Pelodiscus sinensis: one gene and its partner. The protein of the gene in region 2 purifies or fractionates together with the protein of the main gene of each other region. This does not show direct contact. Links are inferred from orthologs where the notes say so. Each region holds a gene or a part of one and is shown on either strand. Other genes may lie near its edges. The genes, in order: LARP7 and ZCRB1.

What was found.
Region 1: the proteins of ZCRB1 (region 2) and LARP7 purify together in Homo sapiens (affinity purification with mass spectrometry; 3 studies listed by BioGRID and IntAct, counting the BioPlex papers as one, with this or other methods). This does not show direct contact. The link is inferred for Pelodiscus sinensis from reciprocal best matches to the Homo sapiens genes ZCRB1 and LARP7.

The regions. Positions count from the first base shown.
Region 1 is NC_134715.1:31,428,164-31,440,119, reverse strand, and holds the start of LARP7 (la-related protein 7), read right to left. Parts: upstream 4,821-11,956; 5' UTR 4,685-4,820; exon of another isoform or gene 4,557-4,684; intron 1-4,556. Other genes in the region: 5'-3' DNA helicase ZGRF1, read left to right, coding at 8,804-8,824, 8,938-9,018, 9,145-9,201, 10,060-10,245, 11,003-11,956. UniProt on the Homo sapiens protein: RNA-binding protein that specifically binds distinct small nuclear RNA (snRNAs) and regulates their processing and function.
Region 2 is NC_134711.1:53,437,688-53,449,601, forward strand, and holds the start of ZCRB1 (zinc finger CCHC-type and RNA-binding motif-containing protein 1), read right to left. Parts: upstream 4,280-11,914; 5' UTR 4,130-4,279; intron 1-4,129.

The DNA of each region.
Region 1 (11,956 bases), on a different chromosome or scaffold from region 2:
TCAAAGATTAAAAAGACCACCAAAATTTGGGCTCACTAATGAATACTGTTTTTGTAAGTATACATTATAACCTGGATGTGCTGTATAAAAAAAAATAATGTTTTCCTTTTTTCGCAGTTATTTAGGACCTGATCTTGTGAGGCACTGGGCATCCTCAAATCCCATTGATGGCTCTTGGCAACTAATAAAATCAAACTCTTAGAAAACAGGATGTAACTTGAGGAAAGATGACAAGTTACACAGGTATAGAATTCATTTTGACCCAAGTCACTCTTCAATCTCTACCTCCTTAAGAATGATCAATCTTTCAGAGTATTATATATGTATGAAATAAAAACAACTGCAACTTGGCATGAGTGAAAGCTGTCTAAAAATGAAGTTGCCACAATGGCTGATGTATTTTACACATGATAGCAACATAAAGGTCTTTCCATTTCTTGGTCAATGGTTAGTATTACAATACAATGTTCCAGGAAGTGGTGTTTGCAGGGAGAAACAGAGAGGAAGCCAAAGATCGCATAAAAATGGAAATGGTTTTCAGATTATTGTGTAAATCAGGCTTCTTTAAGCAAGATTCCAGTTTATCTCCCTGCTGTGAGCTGACCATTCAAGATGCTTAAGGTCAACAAGCTGTCAATTAGCTTGAAAGAATAAGTAAGGTCATGCTCCTGTCATTGAGCTAAAAGTTCAACATGAGTTCAAATCACACAGCAAGACAAACGTCAGCAATGCAATATAATATTTGGTCGGACGCTACAGGAAAAATTGTACTACTATTTAGTGGCACTTTTTTTCAGAGAGAGGATGTCTCTGATGACTGTCCAGTTAAAAGTTAAAGAAAGCAAGCCAATTTTCCAAATAAAATATTCAGGAATTACAGATTTTTTTTGGAGAGGGGATCTTGTCTGGAATACAACACCTAATATCCAAGTCTCTGAGAACTTCTGCTCACCACATGGAAGCTGTGCTTGTCTTGTCTACACCATCACTTAACTCTCAGTATCCAACTAATCTGTAAAGAATTTAGGAAGCTTTCAGTACAGGTTGGACCTCTCTTGTCCAGCAACATCCATGATCCGGCATGATTTTAGTGACCCAAATGTCATCTTATTGTAGGTGTGTCTAAGTTTCCCACTGTCCTGTAAAGTTGACAGATGACAGTCCTGGCTCTCAATGTTCTGTGCTGTTATTTAACTCTAGTTTACCCCTTAAATGACTTCTTGGATCCCAGCAAGCAGCGGAAATGCTGGTAATGTCGTTAAGCAAAAACATGTTTTTATGCTTTATTTACTCATTTCCTTCTGCCAATACAGTAAAACTGTGTAACAACACTAACACTTTTTTCTGAAGAGAGCTGATAAGCCTTGGCTAGACTCAAACTTATTTTGGGTGTATCTGTACAGTTACACATTGGTAAGAACATACTAAGCATTGTTCTGTTTATTTCCCTTGGCAATCAATAAAATAAAAAACAAATAAACAAACAGACAGACAAATAAATAAAAAAGACCAAATCGCTACAATATTGGTTTCCTGTAGTTTAGCATCCATCAGATCCTGAGGATGCTGGACTAAAGAAGTTCAACTTGTATCAAGGACACTACAGAAATCGACATTTTACTTTACAAATGCTATATTGTGCTGAGCACTAATTAGATCCCACATTGTGGTGGCTTTGTCAGAAGACCAGAGCAAGGCTAGCTTCAAGATACAGTGCCTCAGGACTCAGAGTCCAAATAAGATAACCAAGGAAAGAAAGAGGATGAGAAATGAAGATGAGCTCTAATACCTGGCCAAGATACTTTTCCTCAACATGCCTGCTCAGCTGCACTGGTTGATGCCAGCTCAGCAGCACATATTAAGCTGTATTGGCGGATGAACACACGGGGAAGCAGGGAAGAGCCACAGCTCTGGTAAGAAGAAAAGTGATCCCACAAAGCAAGCAAGGGCAGTTAATAGGCAGACCATGGGCCAAATCCAGACCATCAGGTGCTTTTGAATGGACCCAGACATTTTTTCATTTACATACTATTGCATAAACATTTATCATTTCTGGCACTCCACATGTAAAATTCACAAACTAAAAAATTTATTTTGGAAGAAGAAACTCATTCCCTTTGAGTCATTCACTACTTAGGTTTACAGTGACTCGATGTTGACACCAAATAAACAATTGACGTTCATAAAAATATTTTCATTAGGTGAATCAGACTTGGATTTGTACTTTAAAAACAAAGAATTGTACAAAAACGTCACTTAGGTTTCAACCACAATAATGTCATAGAAAATGCCCAAAAGATCATAAAAGTTTGCACTCCTAATATTGTCTTATAAATGGGGCACTCACCAAAATACACACATTTTTTCCATTTTCTTGCTCAAAGTAGCTATAGCGATATCCTGTTCTAGCGTCATCAGAACTACTTGTTTTTTACATAACTACATTAAAACCAGCATCAATGCATCTACTGCGTGGAGCATTTTCTAATTCTAGCTCAATTCCAACTAGCATGAACATCAGCTGCCCCAGTAATTTAAATACAAGACTGAAATGGAGCAGTGTGTTATGTACAAAGAAGCAAAGCACAGAAATGAACAATAATGAAAACTTATGAATTAGGGATGTAAGCAAGCAGTCGAGTAGCTGATTACCTGGTAAACCTCAGCTTATCGGATAGTCGAGTTGACTACCCAAATCCCCTCCCCCCCTTTGGGAGAGCTGGAGCCGAAACTGGGGGGAGCCAGATCTCCTCGCCTGCCCCCACTTCCTGCACTGCTGCCTCTAACAGAAGCAGCAATGTGGGAGGAGGGGGATGCTTGAAGCAGCCTCTGCCCACGGCAGGCCAGGCTTGCCACGGGCAAAGGCTGCTCCGCATCCTGTGGATCAGCCCCTGTTCACAGCAGCCTGGGCTGGCCATTAACAAAGGCTGCTCTGGCAGCAGCCGGGACTGAGCAAGCTTGGCTCAGTCCTGGCTTTTGTCAGGTCCAGGAGCTCCCTGTTTTCCCCGTGCGACTGTGCAGTTTAAATGTCTTGCTATATTGAAACTGTAGAGCTTCAGGGGGGCATAACTCCCAGACCCGGCATGAACCAGGAATGAGTACCTTCCCTTCTTGACTAATCATGTAGTCGATAACATTTTTGGTTTTGCATTACAGTAGGGTTAACTTAATTGGGGACTCTGGAGTAGAATTTGGATTGCAGTCATTTAAAGTATGTGCTATATTGCATTGGAAATTTGGGCTCAGACTCAGGTTCAAGCCCACCTCTCCTCTCATCCACTCACATGTCTACCTAACATTAAACAACAAGCACTTGGGACCCAGCTCTTGGGGACCATCCAAGGGAGGGAGGAGGGAAAGAGTCTGATTCTCTCTGTGTCTAAACCCTATCATTTCGTAGCATGGCAGCAGCCGTAGCCAGACCCAATTCAGAACATCTACGTAGTGCACGCTGGACTAGTTAACCCAGCTCCAGTAACTAAAAGCCCAGCTTTACAATACAGCGTGGATGCTTCACCAAGTGCACAAGCCTGAGTCCCAAAGTCAGAGTTTCTACTGCGGTGCAGACATGGCTGGAGAAGCCAGTACCAACCCTAGCAGGACAGAAGGCAGCTTCTTCGCTACACCTGTGCGCTGATCCCAAAACTGCCCCTCCTGCCAGTGGCCTCATTCCAAATTGTTGGGAAAGGGCTCAGACGGAGGGGGATAGCAACAGTACTTTGGAGTCACTCCCTCAAGCCCTGACGGACAAAAGTGACGAATGTAAGAACATAAGAGCGGCCATACTGGCTCAGGCCAAAGGTCCATCTAGCCATGCCAGGTGCCCACAGAGGGAATGAACAGAACTGGTAATAATGAAGTGATCCCACCCCTATTGCCCACTCCCAGCTTCTGACAGAGGCTAGGCACATCATTCCTACTCATCCTGGCTAATAGCCATTGATGGCCCAATCCCCCATGAATGTCTCTAGTTCTTTTTTTGAACCCTGTTAAAATCCTGGCCTTAACAGCATCCTCTGGCAAGGAGTTCCACAGATTGGCTGTGTGCTGCATGAAGAACTACTTCCTTCTGTTTGTTTTAAAACTGCTATTAGTTTCGTTTGGGGGTGGCTAGTTCATAGGCTATGGGAACAATTACATGCCTTTATCCCGAATTCACTTTCTCCACCCGCCATGATTTTATAGAGCTCTGTCCTATCAAGCACCCAGTCTTCTTCATCTCTCTCTTCCCGTGGCCTCAGCGCTCTCGCGGCCCCTTTTCTGAACCTGTCCCAGGGACAAAAGAACTTTGGGGACGCCCCTCCCCCCCTGCAGGCGGCGCTGTTCACGGCGGGTGCCGGACTGCGCGGCTCTAGGCAAAAGCGCTCTTCAGTCTGTCCGCAGAGCCCCCCGCGGCCCCCACGCGCCGCCAATGCCCCGCCCCGCCCACGAGCCTGACGCATGCGCGAAGCCCCCGCGCAGCGCCCCCTGCCGGCGGGGCGGAGAGGGTTAACAGTGTTCCTAGTTCACCGCGCTTCCCCCCTTCCCGCGCCCGGTGCGTAGAGCCGGGCTCTCACCTGCCGCCGCCGCCGCCGCCAACTCCTACAGGGCCCCCCGCCTCTCCTGAGCTGCAGCAGCGTCACCGCCAGCGCGCGACGCTCAGCCGCAGCAAGAAAAGCCCCCGCCTGCCCTGCCGCCGGCTTACCAGATCGGCGCCCCCCCCGCGCGCGACGCACTTCCGAGCGCGGGCCGGCGGCGCGAGGGGCTATTCTCTGCCGTGGCGCCGGAAAATAGCGTCATCGGTAGCTGGCGGCGCGGGAAAGCTTCAAACCAGGGCGAGGAGCCGAGAGCTCGAGAGGTGCCGCGCGGGGGGGGGAGGGGAGAGGAGGTGACGCTGGTCCGCTCCCCGCGCTCTGCCCCCCCCCCCATCGGCGTCTGCAGAGCGAGAGGCTCGGCCATCCGCGCCAGGCGGCTTGGGAAAGAGCCGGGGGGGGGGGGGCGGAAGGAGGTTTAGCCCCCCCGGCAGGACTAGGAGAGCAGCGGCCCTGCGGGCTCCCTGCCTGCACCCACAGGAGCGGGCTGTCAGCGACGCGCAACGTCGGGCATCGCACAGCAGAGCCACAGGCCGTCCCGTGTCCCCCCCCCCCCCCCCCCGCAGCATTTTTACTCTCCCCTCCCGGTACCAGCCTCCTCCGGCCTCGCTGGTGTTTGAAATGCAGAGGTTACAAAGTATTGCGCAACCAGGCTCTCCCTAGCATGGGCTCCCAAACGGGGGGGCGAGGCGACCCAGCCCCTCCCCCCCGACAATCCCACTCCAAGTTTTGCTGCTATTTTTTGGGCGGGGGGGGGGGGGGCAGGAGTTTCTCAGAAATCAAAAAGGGGGGCGTGATGCCAAAAAGTTTGGGAACCACTGCCCTAGCAGGAACTGCCTCTGCCCCATGTCTGTACAGTGCCCAAAACGATGAGGCTCCAGCGCGCGGGGGGGGGGGGGGGGGGGCGAGCAGAAGCCCAACTCTTTTCCGTTGCAGGTTTTGGTGCTTTCTGTCACCATGCTCCCGATGTAGGATGTGTTGTAGCCAGGTCTGCTCCACTTAAAAAAAACCTCGTGTAGATAAAAGAAAATTTAAAAATTATAGAACCTTGCTTTTAGGCAGAAAAATAAGTCCTGGCGCTGGCTTCACTCCAGCTGACTTTGAAATGTTAACAACTTCAGCTACACTAGTAATCAACTTTCATGTGTAAAAACCATTGGTTTTTAACATTGGGATTTTTAAAAGCACTCACTCAGCATTGGGTGAATTCTGCTATTATTGAAGTCAGTGGTCAAATTCCCATAGACTTCCCTAAGACCAGTATTTGGACATGGAGTGTTTCTGACAATTCTCTACTAAATGGTTTGAGAGAGTAACTGTTAATCACCTTTGCCATGAGGGGAGTGATATGAGAGCAAAATTATAATGTTTTACACTCTACACAGAATATATGAGTACAGTTTATATTGGTACCAGTCCTTTCATAAGAATATAAGAATCACCATACTGGGTCAGACCAAAAGGTCCACCTAGCGCAGTATCCTGTCTGCCATCAGTGGCTAATACCAGAGGGAGGGAACACAAAAGATAATCCTCACATGATCCCTCTCCTGTCCCCCATTTCCAGACAAACAGAGGCTAAGGACACCATTCCTACCAATCCTGGCTAATAGTCATTGATGGACCTAACCTCCTAGCTCTTTTTTGAACCATGTTAAAGTCCTAGTCTTCCCATCCTCTGGCAAGGAGTTCCACAGGTTGACAGTGTGCTGAATGAAGAAAGGACCATAAAAACTCTGATACTAGATCTGAATGAAAAAACGTGATTGTGTTCCTTTCAATGTCTCTTTCTTTGCTTCTGTTACATTTTGAGGTAGTTTCTGTGAAAGACGTTATACAGTAGGGTCTTATTTTTAAGTATTACCACACTGGGGCTATGTCTACACTGGCGGCTTCTTGTGCAAGAACATCTTGCGCAAGGGTTCTTGTGCAAGAAGTCTTGCGCAAGAAAATGTCCACACTGCCATGTGCAAGCTGTGCTTTTGCGCAACAGTGCCCATAGCAGTGTGGGTGCTCTCTTGTGCAAGAAAGCTCTGATGGCCATTTTAGCCATAGGGCTTTCTTGTATAAGAAATCCCTGCTGAGCGTCCACAATACCCTCTTGTATAAGAGCTCCTGCGCAAGAAGGCTTACACCTGTTAAAAAAGAGCATAGCTCTTGTGCAAGAAGCCCTCTCTTACCACACCGTACTGTAAATTTCCTTGTGCAAGAGCGGGCAGGCAGTATGGCTGCTCTGCGGATTCTTGCGCAAGAATGGCCATACTTGCGCAAGAAGCTGCGAGTGTAGACATTGCCTTACTGATTTATTTTAGGTCATTAAGGCTTTCAGCAGCTGCCATTATATTCTTTCAGGAATTAATAAACCAATGTATCTGTAGTGGTGGCTCTATTATTCAGTCTACTTCAAAATGGTCTAGCTGTTTACTCTTCTTAGCATATGCACAATGTGCCTCAGGTGACAGAGGACCAGGATTCATCTTCATTCATTAAGTTTGGTCATGTGGTTGGATCATTAGTAAAGCTCTGCCAGTCTCCTTATATCCACAGCCCCTGTTTGTGAATAGAAGATTGGATGCAGATACTATTTTGTATCTGTGCAGGCCTCTAATCATTAACTTTCCCAGATTGCATCAGGTACTGAGGGGGAGTGCAACACAAAGGCTGATCCATGCCACCCACCCATGGACTGCTTGACAGATTCTATCATTTCCATTCTTATTGTTCCATTTTATTACTAGGAAAGAGAAAGACTATCTGAAAATTCCTATTCTGCTCTAAAGTAACCATCTTTCTGTAAACAATGCTAAATCAAGCCATTATCAGATCAAGTAAGGGGAAGTGAAGACAGCTCTTCTGGTATTGTTACAAGAATGGTCAATCTGTGAATTGCACAGTTGGAAACATGATCTTTCCATACATCTTTCTAAACAGTACCATGACTGAGAAGAATAAACGTAAAGTAAATGTTCTGAGCCACCTTGTGGCGAGTGTGTAGCATTTAAGAAGTTGAAAGACAAGACACTTTAAAACTGGAATTTTTAATGAAAAAGCTATTATAGCTTGAGAGCCACTGTCATGAGAAAAAGTGTGAATATATTTCCTCTTTTAATAAATGTATTTACAATGGAATAAAAAACCACATATGTAGAATGCTAATTGAATCTGTTTATCTGCTAGTAACGCAATCAGTGTATTATTTCTCAAATATAATTTCCTAGTTCATCCCCAAAAAGGTATCCTATGAGTTTTTTTCATCCTATCTCTACTTATTCTAAATGTTAAAAATGTACTAAGAATTCTTAAATCCCATGAACTATTGCTTAATTAATCTCTAGTCTAATATCTTCCTATAATAGCTGCTTTGTCTTCTCATATGCCTTTTCTTATGTGTGATTGCTTTTAACAATTTCTTTATCACTTGTGTTGCTGTCTATGCAGTCAGCCAGTAATTTCAAGAAGTTAGAGCAATTGCCAGTGTTAGCTGTGTTCCTGTGGTTGTGGTTTTAATTGAAGTGTCAGTAATTGATAATTATGATTAAGATCCCAATGTTAAGTGCAACTCTTTACATGCAAGTACAAGTTATGATATTTGACAGTTAATTTTCTACTGTATTTGTGTGTCATAAGGTTTGAAAATGATGAAGTGTTTATATAAAGCTTTGATTACTGTTGACTACTTTAGGCCAAGTTTTTTATGGGTGATTATTGATTTGAGGGTTTCAAAATTAGATACCCCAAAATGAAGCCTCATTAGAGACATGAAAGTTTGGTTAATTTTTTAGTAGTAGATTATATGTTCTGATAAGATTATTAGGCTAATAGTTTTCAAAGAGCCAGCTAAAATAAAAATACCTACTTATCTGAAAAATGATTTTGAGCCACAACTTCCATTAAAATGAATAGTAGTTGCAGATGTTCAGGTTTCTAAAAAAGTAGATCTCTTCTTGATATTAATATTTAAACAAAAGCTATTTCTGCTATTAATCTTTACTTTTGTTAGTTTATGTTTAGAATACAAGTCTTTAGCACTCCAATATTCCCTCACAAGCATCACTACCCTGTTTTTACCCACTCTTTAAGGGAAAGCACTGGATGTGTATCTTTTTTGTTTGACACACTTGCCTTGCAGCTGAGTTGAATTCTAAATATGCCCCCCCCCCTTTTTTTTGAGTAGTATGAAGATCTGAATATATGCATTGCAAACCTTTGGATTGCTGTGTTTCATCAAAGCAATGGCTTGTCAGGAGTTTACTGTGAGTCTTATTTTTAAGTACAATTATATATAAGATATAGTCAAATTTCACATATGCTTGGCTTGTATGACTACTAAATCATTTCAGTATATACATGTTTTTTATAATATAAGGTCTTATACACTCATCAGAAGACTAAAAAATCGAAAGTATGGCAAGATGGAGTTTTGAAAACCACTACTGGAGGAAATAAGGTGAAGAATTCAGGTTTAATTCAGTATCATGTGCATAATAGTACCACTTTTTCAGCTTCTACTTGTGTCACTGGTTCCTTCTTAACACACATTTGTTAAATTTAAAATTCTCCTATTTCAATACAGGCAACCTTATTTGATGACAGAGGACAATGTTTGGAGAGTGTATTTGTTAAATCTCAGGTATTTTATAATCATGTAAAGCTTTTATCCTTATTTGGCTAATAATTTGACGCAGCATATTTTATCTTCATGTGATCCAAAGTTCCCTATGCTTCAGTTTTGTCTAGCTTTGTCATTGCTAATATTCTGATCCTTAAATGTTTAGGTTGGAAAATAATCTGTGACAGATTGTTTGTTTGTATGTCACTATATGTAAAACAGCACATAGCAAATTTTAGTACAGTGGATAACTGACAAATAGGCTTATGGTGGATAATGAATTATGAATATATATAATTTTCACTTCATGCTGTTATGCAAACCATATGCTTAGAATGTTCTCAAATGTATTTAATTCTTTCATATAATTTCTTAAAAAAAAAAAACCCTTCATAGACTTACCTATTCTAGGAAGCATTACAATTGCAATGTACTCTGACCATTACATGTTTGATTTTGATTTGTATAGTACCTTTTTACATTGCAAGCTTATTGAGATGGAGTGCTGTTTGTTTGATATTATGGAGTTTTTGTACAGCCAAAAACTAATAGACCTATGTAAATAATTATGGTCTTAGGAGTTGCTTAAAAACTTCATTTTTAAAGCTACAGTATTTAGTAATCTGTGCAAATTTGAGTGTTTACATTAGAACCAACACAAAACAATTTGAAACTTAGAGCTAATGCTTGCTTTCATATCTAGTCTGCTCCAGTTGTCTAGGATACAGTGAATTTTGTATATTATTGTTTCATTTCTGTGTTGTAAAACAAATTATTTCAGTATCTATTTGACAACACTTAGGAGAAACTATCATTTTTTCCACTGGCTAGCATACATAATGCCATTAAACAACACTTTTGTTTCTCTGTCTTTTCTAGGTGAAACCTGGAGATGACTTAGAAAGTGACCGATATTTGATCACAATTGAAGCAGAAAAAATAACTGAAAACTGTGGTAGTGATCAGCCAAAGAAAACAGAAGCGCCTACGCTGAACAGAAATAGTTTGAAGCCCAGTGGTTTCTCTCTGCCCCATCTACCTCTTGGCTTGAAAAGGAAACATACTGTATGTTTGTGTTTCATATGTATGTTTGACTTTCATATCCAATTTAAAACACTATTGGAACGTTATAATTTGCACTAGTGTCAGGGAAAACCTATTTTAAATCCTAATTTCCCTCCTGATGGTATATGCCCTGCAATTGTATCTAACTTAGTGTATTTCCTAGTGCTTTCTAGTTATCCAATGACTAAGGCTGTATTGTGGGCATGTAAGTGAGGAGTTCAATTAGAGTGAAATCAAATGAAGTATATATAGACAAAATGTTTGGGTTTAATTCTTAGCAGCAAACTACATTAATGTAAGTATATTGTTTGCATATGTGACTTGTTAAATTCACACTGAATGTCATGATTGTAGCCAGGTTTACTTGATAGCATATTAAATTGTTTAGTTACAGGATGCTAATTTGAAGTATTAATGAGGAGCTCTGAACTTCCTGTGGATGCATTAGTACATATTTTGTTAGTAAAATAAAATAGGTGAAGTGTATTGGAAAGAAAATGTGTAATTAAAATCTGCTCTGCCTTGCATGAATAAGACTAACTTGCTTGGCATATGTAAGCAAGAGTTATTTTAACAACTACTGCTGCTATTCAGGGTACAATTCAAAAGAAGCATAATTTGGGATTGTTCAATAAATGTGTCAAATTGTTTAATGAGAGTATGGAGCATAATAAGTGCCCTGTTGCTTTTTACTGCTTAGGTTCCAAATTTCAAAGCTGATTTATGAATAATATTAACATAAAAACTTTTCTCCTAGGGCTTTCAAGGGCCACGTCAAATTGAAAAGAAAATGGTGCTGATGGAAGATGATGAAGCAGTAGTATCCCATTCATCTAAGCGGTCTCTGTTGTCCTTTCCTTCTCAGTTGTATAACACCTCTCCTTTATTTTCTACTACTTGCGAGAAGGATGCTGAAACTAATTCATCATCACTCTCTAATAATGATGCTTGCACAGGCAGCAATAGAGACCATATGTCTGTCTCCTCACTGGTTTCCACTTCTTATATTGGCATTCCCAAAGAAGTGATACACAATAGAAACCACAGCATCTCTATTTCTGGACAGATGGAATCAAATTGTCAGACAGTCAGTGGTATGTCTCTGTCTCAGAACATCAGGAGCAAAGCACAGATAATAGCACTTCTGAAATCCAAGCCAACACAACTGTGCAACGATCAAAACTCTTCCGAAATCACTGAGTGTTGTTCTGGATGTCAGTTGTCAGAAAGCAGAGGAATTTTATTGAAACAAAAGAGTGGAAATGTGTCTGCACATATGGATATCTCTGATAGAGAAAGTACCAAGAATATACAGCACCAATCAACTACAGAGAAAACAATAACTAATAGTTGGGATGTTTATATGTTGCCAAATTCAGCCAAACAGTCTTGTGATGAAGAAGTCACAGAAAGGAGACATGACAAAAAAGCAAGTAATTTAGGTTTGGATTTACAAGACCCTCAAAACCCAAAGGCTTCACATTTCATGGCAGCCTTTGTGCAGCCTGTTGAAAAAGGGCTAAAATACAATTGCGAGAAACAAACAGATCATGACAGGCAATACAGCTGGGATTGTAAAACAGCTTCTCAAGCATCTGCATCCCGTGGAAGTGATTGGGAGACTCAGCTGTTAGCCATTAATGAGAGTTCTGGCAAAGACCAACTGAATCCTTGTGAATTACCTGAATCAAATATAAATAAAGAGAGTGAC
Region 2 (11,914 bases):
TCTTCTCTTAGTATACTAATTATTCTTAGGTAATTGTTATGGTTTTCACACTAAAGACAGCAAAAGTCCCTGCCCAACCCCATTTATCACTTAACTACTTAAACACGGTGTTTAACTGCTTAACTAAACAAACGGGATTTTATATCCCTAACATTCATGTAATAGGGGATCTGCTTCTAGGCCACCTCCATCCTTGGTTGGTAGAATTTGATCCCAGTTACAAGTCACTTGGGAAATGGTGTTCACTGGAACCTCTTTGTGACAGTCTCATGACACATTCAAAAGGATAAGACACTGTTTGCAGACAATGGTAACATGTAGATTTCCATAGCACGACTCAGTCAACTGAATGTTACCTTAAGACTGACATACATCACATGCAGGAGCTACTTGAACTCACAATGTATCTCTAACAATGAGCAGAGGGACAAAATGATGTTAAATGTGGAAGGGTTTCTCATAAAGCCTGACAGTTGGAGGTGACACATCCAATGCAGCAGGGGCTTCAAATGGTCAACAGAACATGCACAAATACCTTCTCTGGAATGGACAAGATGTTTGGCAGGGCCCATCACATCACTGGCAGGGTGCTGGTTGGTCCAACCCTCCATGGGGGATGGCTGCTGTGGCCCAGCTGCAGTTTGGACAGGACCAGTTAACCAGTTACCAGATAAGCATGCCAGTAAGGCTAAAGCATACTGGGTAACTGGTTAGCCTTTTAAATCCCTAGTTGGAGCTATGCCATCAGCAATGAAGGCTAGACTGAAATATCACCTTGGGCCTTATATAAGGTGGACAGATCCAATCAGAACCCTGAAAATGATGACTAATATAGGCATCAAAGATGCAAGTCAACAGCTGTGCTTACCTATCCTAGATGAAAGAAGCCGCTGAAAAAGACTCAATGGCTCAGGTCACATGGTGTAAAGCCAGCATTGGTAAACCCAGAAAAGGTTTGCTTATTGTGTCTGTCTCTCAAGCCAATGGGATGAGGTAGTCTTTGGGACAATCATTCACTCTTGCTTTTGATCAACATAAATAATCTAGTGATCAGCACCAGGATTAAGTCCCCCGGCTCTACTATCAGCTGCAGACACCCTCCTGGTGCCGCCTTTCCCCAGTGCACTTAAGATCTTGCACCAAAGTATTCCCAGGGACGCACATCCTCTGATGTCAGCAGGCATGTCTGCAGTATACCGAGACAACATATTTAATGCAGGGTTGTATTAGAGTAACTGTTTACATTGTTAACTGATAAGCCAGGGCTTACTGGTTACTGTGAATGGTTACATGTAGGCTCCCTCCCCGCTCCCAGAGAGCCTGTATATGTGGGAGCCGGCTTAAAAGACTCCACAGTGCTGCCTCTAATACAACCCTTACAAGCTGCAACCCAGAGTTTGAAAACCCCTGATCTAAGGTACTTATATGCCCCTACCCCCTTACCACAGTATCTAAGCAAGTTGTAATCTTTAAATGTATTTATCCTCATAGCACCTATCTGAGGTAGGAAAATGCTCCATTTTAAAGATGAGGAATTCAGGTACAAAAAGCTTTTAGGTGTTGCAATGCCTAACTAGGGAGCTGCCCAGAAAATCTTGGGCACAAGACTGGGATGTACAAAGCTTCAGTCAGGCATCCTGTACCCTGTCCCTCTCACTGTCAGGTACTGAAATCCAAGTGTAAGGAGATAACTATTTCTGCTTGCAATTTGCAGCCAGGAACCTATCTCCTGGAGTCAGGCATCTTAGATGCCTATCTTGCTTTTAATGTGAATGAGTTAGATACCTGTCTCACAAAAATGACAGTGGAGGTGTCCACCCTAAGTTCTTAGCCCTATAGACAGAACACTCATTGGGGATCTGGGTATAATTCCTCCCTCTATTTGAGGGGCAGAAAGGATGTGAATGGGAGTCTCTAAAGCTTTGTTAATATTATACTTTTTAAAACATTTCTAAACTGGTCCTTGGTCAGGGCAGCCCATGACAACTTTTACAGGGAGCAGGGTCATGGTTTTTTTCACTTCTCTCTGCAACAAATAAATTATATGAACGTGAAAGGGTTAAAAGCACCTCATTTTGTTAGAAGAGTCATATCTTGGCTAAATTACTTTAAATTTGCATTACAAACTATCACCAAATTCCGGTTATAAAACTCTGCATACAAGTTTTAGAGATTTTGAAATAGATTGCTACTTATTAGGAGAGCTGGATCTGAAGAAACCCTTGACCAAATGATCCCTACTTGCATCCCCAATTCTATTGCTGGCCATGTCTGCATGTGAATTTTAGAGCACTTTTCATTATCAGTATTTAAAACAAAAAGCTTTGCTCTCAAGCCCAAACTTCTCAAGAGAGCCTTTTACAGAGGCCCAGCCCCTAACCACAACACAAGTAGACAGTAACCTCAAATTTTCTAGGGAGAGGATGTTGTTTGGGATCAATTGATACAGCGTGTTACCTGAACTTGAGAATAACTGATATAAGGTTGGACTCACTTAATCAAGTATGCAACATTACATACATAAAACATTTTTTTAGAGTCACATAGTCTTGTTTCTAATGCAAAATACACCTGAAATAAAGATTGTGTTATGGTTTGAAGCTGTGCTCGTATCTGCTGGTAGGGGTCATCAACACAGATGCAGATACTCTAATCTTTCCTTTTTCCACATTGTGCCCAGTCTACCACTTGTTCATTTGCGTGCATCCATCCATCATGCTGGTTTTACAGCCAGTCATCTTCCTCTTCCACTAAGGAGCCTTTTTCAGAATGGTACATATAAAACATCATAGTTGCCCATGGGATCAACTTTTCAGTGGAGGCTATAGCATAGATGGGTCTCAAGTTACCACATTTAATCACACTTTGGGAAGGGCTAAATATCAGCTTCCATCAACAGAGGAAATGAATTATGAGTTCAACATTTCCCTACTGCAAATACACCAATCTTGAAATTGGGGGTTTCTTTCTGTGTCTGAGCTATAAGCCAAACACCCTCTAGTCTTTACAACTGCCCCAGAAACTCACATACTGAATCAGTTCCTGCTTTAACCAATAATGTTGTAATTTCTGCCTTTCTATGAGCTGACTCAAGTGGTGGTCCTGACTCAAGACTACCTAATACTTAAAAGTTTACCAACCTGACTATTTCAATAAGGAAATCCTCGCCTCTAACCAAAGTAAAGTAGCTATTCCAGTAAAAGCCCTATCACAGACACAAGTTAGACTAGCAGAGAATTTCAGAAGGGTAGCCATGTTAGTCTGTAACTTTAAAAAACGAATAGTCCTGTGGCATCTTAGAGGATACCATTATATGTTTATATAATGTATGAATGAGAAAGAGAATCATGAGCAAAACCAACTTCCTTTGTTCATCTGACGAAGTGGGCTGTGCCTACTGAAGCGCATGATACTATCTATCTTTATTTGTTGCTCTCCAAGCCCTGGTCTATGCTATTTCTAAATAACAAGCAGAGCATCCACACTATTAAGCCCATTATTTCAAAATAAGGGACTGGCTATTTTGAAATGATGACGCCCGCTTTCCACCAGGAATAATGCTTATTTCAAAATAGTCATTTTGAAATAGCAGTAGCAGGGACACTCCATTGTCTGTAACCACACCACTTTAGAAACTAGCAAAAAACAGAGATAGTATCATGAGTTTTTGTGAGCACAACCCACTTCGTTCATCTGAAGAAGTGGGCTGTGCCCACGAAAGCTCATGATACCATCTGCATGTTCCGTTAGCCTCTAAGTCTAAGGTGATGCCGAGACACTCGTTCAAGTTTGTGCATTTTTAAAATAGTACAGTTATGCTGGACTAGCCTATGTCCCTTCCCAGCTACATCGCTCTCCTGATGCAACGGGGCTGCGGCGTGAGGGGCAGGACGCCGGGCAGCGCTGCGATGCTGGCTCGCTTGGCAGTCACTGGCAATAGGAGCGTTGGGACCTCGGGGACGGGGCGAGGGGAAGAGCCGCTCACGCCCTTAGGAGAACACGAGCCAGAAGCAGCCCCGCCCCCATCTCCGGCAGCCGGACCCTCCCCGGCGCGACCCCCCCCCGCGGGACGAGGCGAACCACGGCCGCCATAGACACGGGGCGGGATTCGGGCGGAGCCCGCACCCACCTCGCGGGAAGCGGTTCAGGCGGGGCGGGAGGACATTTCTCCTAGGCGCTGCCTCCTTTCGCCGGGCGCGCCGAGAGCGAGCCCATGGCCCCACCTGCCGCGGCGCCCTTCCGGCGACGTGAGAAATAGACACCTCCTGGCCCCAGTCACGGGCGGCAGTGCCAGCAGGCAGGCGGGTATTTCCGTTTTCGTCACGAAAGGCGCCGGAAGTGGCCCGGGGCCGCGGATCAGGTCCCCCCGTTGCTGGCAGGGGAGCGGCACCAGGCGCCGGCGCGCGCGAGGGACCTTGGCGCAGGTAGTTTCCGGTTACTCTGGCCCTGCGCCCCAATCTCGTGCTCTGGGCGAACGGCAGCCGCGTGAGCCCCCGCTGCTACCGCGCGCCGCCCCGGCTTCCCGTGACCTCCGTGAGCCTGCGCTGTGCCTGTGGGGCAGGGAGCGCACGTGTTCCGAGCGCCTCCCGCCGTGGCTTGTGTCCGTGCGGCCCGGGGCTGCAGCGCGCCCCTCTCCTCGTACCGCGGATAACGTGGCGGCGGCTGTTGATGGTCACTTTGGACAGAGCTGGGACTGGGTCCGAGACTCCTCCTCCGTTAGACCCCCTCGTAGCCGTTCTGCCTCTACCCACGCGCTGTGCCGGGCAAGCCTCTCTGTAAGCGCTGCTCTAGTCACTGGCCCGGCTTGGCCCCAGAACTGGAAAGAGGAGCAGGCACCGTATTCCCAGCGCTGCCCTGCCAGTTGTTTGCCCACCCGTTTGGTAGCCCCTTTGCAAACGGTTTGCTGGCTCATGTGGTAGGCCTAGTTGCTTGAAGTAGGGGTTCAGGATGCCTGACATTATGCCCTGGTTTCTAGTGATTTCTGTCATATACAGGATTTCTAGTTTATTGTCACGTGGCTTCCAAAGATCAGAAAATTATGGATCAAAGTGGTGGCATTTCTCCTTTATGTAATACTCCAGCTATGTCTTGTTTTAAACTGGATTTTTATTATTTCTAAAATCTGTCAAAATGTCAGATTACCCCTAAGGTAGTTTCTTGCAGAATCAGGAATAGATCTTGCTATAGCAGAGTCAATGAAGACAAACTAGTGAATCTGGTTAAGGTAGCAGAGTGGAGCCCAGAACATTGGCTTCTAGTTCTGACCTAGCACGGCCATTCTATATACAAATCACTTAAACTACATTTTTTTGAGGTGGACGCAAATTTTGTGCCTGATTGTTTTGTGCCATGGACCCCATAAAGAAGTATTCACTTATTTATCTTAAGAAGATATTGTATAGATAACTTGAGTAATTGTAAAATGCAAAAGAACTGGAACTTTATAGAGAGAGAAATGTGAACAGGAACTGGACTTTTGCCAGTTTGAGGAGAAACTGCTCTAAATTTTGGCTATCAAGACCTTGGAGTGACAATGTGAGATTTGGAACTGTTGAGTACAGGTGTGTTTCTAATGTCTGTGTAGACTAGAGAAATGTCTACTTGTGAAACTCTTTGGGAGCTACACTTGAGTCATGGGATACAACTAGCTCTTCAAGAGCGGGCAATAAGCCACCCATGGGCCGGACGCAGTTCACCAGGGTTAACTTCTGGCTGTCAGGCACTTCGTTTGCCTGAGCGTCTGCAGGCACAGCCGCTCATAGCTCCCATTGGCTGCAGGAAGTGGTGGCCCGGCACACAGTGCTTCATGCAACGTCCACTGGCTGTGAACAGCGAACCAAGGCCAATGGGAGCTGCAAGTGGCTGTGCCTGCAGATGCTCAGGGAAATAAAACAAGGTGGTCTGCCGACAGCATACCCTATCAAATCGTGTCTGACCCACAAGCTGCCTTTGCTCACCCCTGTTCAAGAGAATTCTAATTCTAGTTCATTACAAGCAGTCCCTGACTTACGCGGATCCGACTTATGTCGGATCCGCACTTACGAACGGGGCTTTCTCGCCCCGGAAGTCGGGGAGAGAAAGCCCCATTGGTAAGCTGCTCCGGTGCCCCTGGTCTGCTGGAGACCGTCTCCAGCAGACCAGGGACACCGGGCGGGTTCCCGCGCTTCTGAGGCTTTGCCAGAGCAAAGCCTCAGAGGCGCGGGGAACCGCCGCTGCTGCCGCTTCAATCTGGGTGCCTGTGGTCTGCTGGGGACCGTCCCCAGCAGACCACAGGCTCCCGGACTGAAGCCGCAGCCGCGGGGGGGTCCCGCATCTCTGAGGCTTTGCCAGAGCAAAGGGGGGCGGTCCCCAGCAGACCACAGGCTCCCGGACTGAAGCCGCGGCGGGGTCCCTCGCCTCTGAGGCTTTGCCAGAGCAAAGCCTCAGAGGCTCTGCTCCCCGTGTCCCTGGTCTGCTGGGGAGGGGGGGGGGCAGCTAGTGTGCTCCCCCTCCCCCCAGCAGACCAGGCTTTTGTTTTGGACTCTGGGGCAGAGCAGCTGGGGCGCTGCCGATTGGTCCTGCAGCGCCCGCTCTGGGCACTACTGGACCAACCCGGCAGCACCCCAGCTGCTCTGCCCCAGGTCCTGATTCAGCCGCTGCTGGTCAGTTTCAGCAGCGGCTGAATCAGGACTCCTGGGGCAGAGCAGATGGGGTGCAGCTAGGTTGGTCCAGTAGCACCCAGGAGCGGTGCTACTGGAGCAACCCAGCAGCACCCCAGCTGCTCTGCCCCAGGTGTCCCCAAGTCAGCTTCTGCTGAAACTGACCAGCGCTGACTACAGGAAGCCCCAGGCAGAGTTGCTCTGCCCCGGGCTTCCTGGAATCAGCTGCTGATCAGTTTCAGCAGCAGCTGACTTGGGGACGCCTGGGGTTCTTAAGTTGATTCTGTATGTAAGTCAGAACTGGCGGTCAGTTTCAGCAGTGTCTGAATCTGGACGCCAGTTCCGACTTACATACAGATTCAACTTAAGAACAAACCTACAGTCCCTATCTTGTACGTAACCCGGGGACTGCCTGTATTATATCTTACTCTAACAAAGGTTGCTCCTGCATGCCCATGAGCATCATTTTTTGGAGGTGGGGTGACAGGAGAATAGAGAACATAAGAACAGCCATACTGAAACCAAAGGTCCATCTAGCCCGGGGTGGGCAAAAGGGCTTCCATGGGCCGAATCCAGCCCGCCGAGGCCCTGCTGCTCCCCTGCCCCCAGGCCAGTTAGGGGCAGTGGAGTACCCGAAGCCTTCTCTGCTCTACTCCAGCCCTGCGAGTAGTGCATGGCGCTTCAAATGCTGGGGCAGTGCGGAGAAAGCTTCGTACGCTCCCCGCCCGCAGGCCTTAATTGTCCTGGGGGTGGGGAAGCACATGAAGCCTTCTCCCTCCTTGTAAGAAGCACGTGGCACTTTGAAGCGCTGCTCGCAGGGTGGTGGTGGTCGTGGGGAGAGAGCGGAGGAGGCTTTGCAGGCTCTCCAGGCCAATCGGGCTGGGGGCAGGGGAGCTGCATGAAGCTTCTTTCTCCCTGCCCCAGCACTGCGAGGAGCCTGCAGCACTTCAAAGCGCCACGTGCTCCTCGCAGGGCAGGAGGAGGCTTCCCACGCTCCCCCACCCCCGCTCCCCCAGTGTGCCAAACTTCTTCCAGGGCATGGGTGCCTAGTGGGAAGGGGGGGCAAAGGGGCTCCCCCATCTCCAGACCAAACCTCCCCCCCGACCTAGCCCAGTATGCTGTATTCAGACAGTGGCCAATGCTAGGTGGACCCAGAGGAAATGAACGGAACAGGGAATCGTTAAGTGATCCCACCCCTGTTGCCCACAAGAGGGGAGTCGTAGGCCCACAAGTCTATTTTGACTTGGGAGCATGTTTGGGGTGTGAGATAAACTTTCAAGACTATGAAGTGAGGAGAATTCAATATACCTCATCATTCCCTACTATGGTGGAGGGGTGGGGGGGCGTGAGTTGACCATGTTATGAACCCACATACTAGAGTGAGTACTTAACACAAAAAAATGGCACTTGACACCACAGGTGTTTCTTAAACTGCAGGCACTCAAATTCTTGAGCTGGCATTTTATGCATAGTTATATTATCACTGTACTCAGAAGAGGGTAAGTAGGATGTTTTGGGACTGTTCAAGTCAGTGATCAGTATTATGTTTGGTATAATGTTGTTTGTCAGTAGTGATTGAGGGTTAGATTTTAAAAGTTGTTCAGGTGCCTAAATATGGAGTGAGTCAAGTGCCTATCCTGCTTAGGTACTTTTGCCTTATTTGCCTTCCTGCAGTTTTAGGCATCTAATGTCTTTATAAATTAGGTTCTCAACTCTTGTATTTTATGCAGTGGTGACTCTTTCTAGCCTTTATGCGTGCAGGCTCTTTTTGCCATTGACTGTTTCTAGCGTGCTGGTGTTAAAAGTGACCCCCTCAGCAAGATGCACGAACAGCATCCTAGTAGAAAACTTATCAATGTCTGTCTTCTCAGAAGCCCGGGTGGCAAATGTCCCTCTGGTTGGTAGGTGTTTGGAAATATTTTATGCTCTGGGTTAGGGATGTTGCATTCCACCCACCCTTTCCCCCTGCAATGGATCCGGGATGAGGCAGCTGCTTTGGGGGATAGCTCTGCTGCGGCTCCGTTATCTGGCCCTGCTCCTCCATGAGCCCCGCTCATGCCTGGCAGGCAGGGAAGGGGCTGGGGCTGCCCGACGCTGGGACAGGAGCCGAGTACCGAAGCCCAGGCAGGCAAAGCTCAGTGCTCCTAGGCTGGACTCGGGGAAATGCAGGCCCCCTTCACTGGCTGGGCTGGCAGCACTCAGTGGGTGGGTCTCCCGTGGTGAGTCAGGCCAATGCCACTGGCTGGGGCAGGTGGGAGCAGCGCCTCAGTCCGGGATGGTTACTTGGGGAGCCTGGCTGGGCACCGTGGACACCTGGGAGGAGGCTCCTGCAGCCGTGCTGATGTAGCTGGGCTTGCTGCTTAGCTGGAGTGACCTCAGGCTGGGTGCTGAGCGTTGTGCACCTGTCGCAGCAGCCCACTGGGCTCAGGGGCAGGGACCAGAGCTCTCCCATTGCTGGGGCTTCATCCCAGGCGAGTCAGTGCTGTGTGGCTTGGCCCAGACATGTCGCAGCCCAAAGGGGCAAAGCAGGGTGAGTGGCCGAGCGGGGCTCTCATGAGTGCGGGTAGAGCTCGGATTGTGGCTCGGCCCCCACTGTACATCTGCCCTGGCCTTTCTCCATACCTGTCATGATTTTATAGACTTTTCTCATAACCCCCCTTAGTCTCCTCTTTTCTAAGCTGAAAAGTTCCAGTCTTTTTAATCTCTCTTCGTATGGCACCCTTTCCAAACCCCCAGTCATTTTTGTTGCCCTTTTCTGAAACTTTTCTGATGCCAATATATCTTTTTTGAGATGAGGCGACCACATCTGTACGCAGTATTAAAGATGTGGGCGTACCGTGGATTTATACAGAGGCAATAAGATATTCACTATCCCTTTTTAAATGATTCCTATCATTCTGTTGACTACCGCTGCACACTTAGTGTATGTTTTCAGAGAACTAACCACAGTGACTCCAAGATCTCTCTTCAGGGGCTATAGCTAAATTAGTCCCCATCATTTAGTATGTATAGTTGGGGTTATTTTTTCAAATGTGCATTATTTTGCATTTATTAGCATTAAAATTCTCTTGCCATGTTGCCCAATCACTGAGTTTTGTGAGATCCTTTTGAAGTTCTTCACAGTCTGCTTTGTTCTTAACTATCTTGAGCAGTTTAGTATCATCTCCACATTCCTTTTCTGTGGTTACATGGTTAATCACTTGCATGCATTTTAACATCCCTAATCTTAACTCTGCCATGCTTGGCCCAGATTCACCATCACATAAGCACAGAACAAAAATAATCCTATCCAGGCCTGTTTTTGTCTTTGTATATATTTCTTAGCTGACTAACAAATTGAAAGGCCAGAATGTTCAAGGAGCAGAAGATGGTTGTTAGGATGTACAGATTACAGCCATGGATTTATTTTTTGTGAGACTGTAAGAGTAGGAATAGCATGTTGGTGGTAAGATTTAATTTTAACTTTTTTTTAATGAAAAATTTAGAATCCTATTTTTTTTAAATCCAGTTATTAAAAAAAAAAAGACTTTTATCCAGCCTGGTCTCCATGAAATAAGTGAAGTATCATGATTTATTTTTCCTTCTTTGTTATACTACTTGTAGCTCTCAAGACAGAGGAGAGGGCTGCCTTTTTTCCAGTATAAACATCAGGAACTGAAAAATATACCCAGTGCTTGATAGCCAGGTGAAAAATAAATGAGCTGCCATATATCTAACCCAGTCACCCAACATCATATCTTTCAGATGAAGAAATAAAGTTTTGTATTGTTTGTTGTATCTTAATGCCGACAGTCAGTTTTCTATTACCACATCTTTAAAAATGTTTTTTCTCCCTTTTTCTGTCTTTTTATTTTTGTACCTCCACTCCCTGTTTTCCCTCCTGTCCTATTTAAGATTAAGATTCCATGATTTTTTAACAGATGTCTCCACCTTTGGCTCATGCTTCAGCCCCACCTGGCCAGCCAAAGCCTGACTGCCTTAACTTAGCTTTGTAGAGCCTCTATGGCATAGAGCACTGGGCAGTTGCCCTAATGCTGCTCTGTGTGAATTTCTGTGATTTATTGACTTATTTCCTATGTCCTATTTAATAAAAATATCTGTGCCAAAATCATATCCTTAATCACAATGTATCTTTCCCTGAATTATTTTCATTGTTTCCTCTTTCTTCAACTCCCTTCTCTCTTTCCCTAAGTTCTTTTGCAATGGTGGATGTAGTAATTTCCCTTCTCGTTCCTTCTACTTCTTCCTAAATCTCTTTTTCAATACAATTTATCCAGTCTCTGTTTCTCTTAACCATCTCCTTCTGATCATATAGTATTCATATTTTAAAAATATTGCCAAATGCACTTAAGAGATGGAGGACTGAACCTACCAGCTAAAGAAAAGTACAAAAAGAGGGGAGGGCGACAATGTCAAGAGGCAACTCTTTGATGATGAGATAATTCTCCAACTTGTGCCATAGAGGGAGAATTCTAGGATTCCTCTTGAGATGTTGTCCTTCAACAAGAAACCTATAGCAAAAAGTTCTAACTATTGCAAAAGTTAATGATGACTGCTAATCATGTATGTCAGCCCCTCCATCCAATTCATGTCTCTAAGAGGAGGAAACAGCTGGTCTAAAATGTAATGGTGCTGTTTTTTAATGTTTGGCAAAGAAAAACAAGTCCTACAAAAATCACATTGTCAAGCAAAAATGTAAAACTTTGATGTGAGCTACATAATCCTACTCTATTTTGTGAGGAAGGAAACCATTTTTCTTAGGTCTGATGCACTAGCACAAAGCAGGACCTATTGCTGCGATAATCTCCTTGCTCTGATTCTTGGCAGTAAGCCACAAAGGGGCAGCTTGTGTTATATTAATAGAATAAGTCTCCCACATATGGTGAAACGCCATTAGTGGAGAGAGTACTTCAGTAAAATCAATCACCACTGACCCAGCGGCAATATAAAGTGACACAGTATGAAACTAGGGGGGTTTCTGTGCTGTTGCAGCACTGTAATGTAGACACCTTCTACATTGAAGGGATTCATTCCGTTGAAGTAGATAATGCACCTCTCCAAGAGGCAATAAGTAGGTCAATGAATGAATTATTCTGTCAGCCTAGCTTTATCTACAGTGGTTGGTAGGTCCACCTAACTACACCCCAGAGGGCATGGCATTTTTTTAGAGCCTTGAGCAATATAGTTAGTTTGACCTTGGTTTTAGGTGTAGACCAGACCTAAGTAGCACTGCAGAGTATACTACCTATTATCCAAATAGCATGGGGACATGGGTT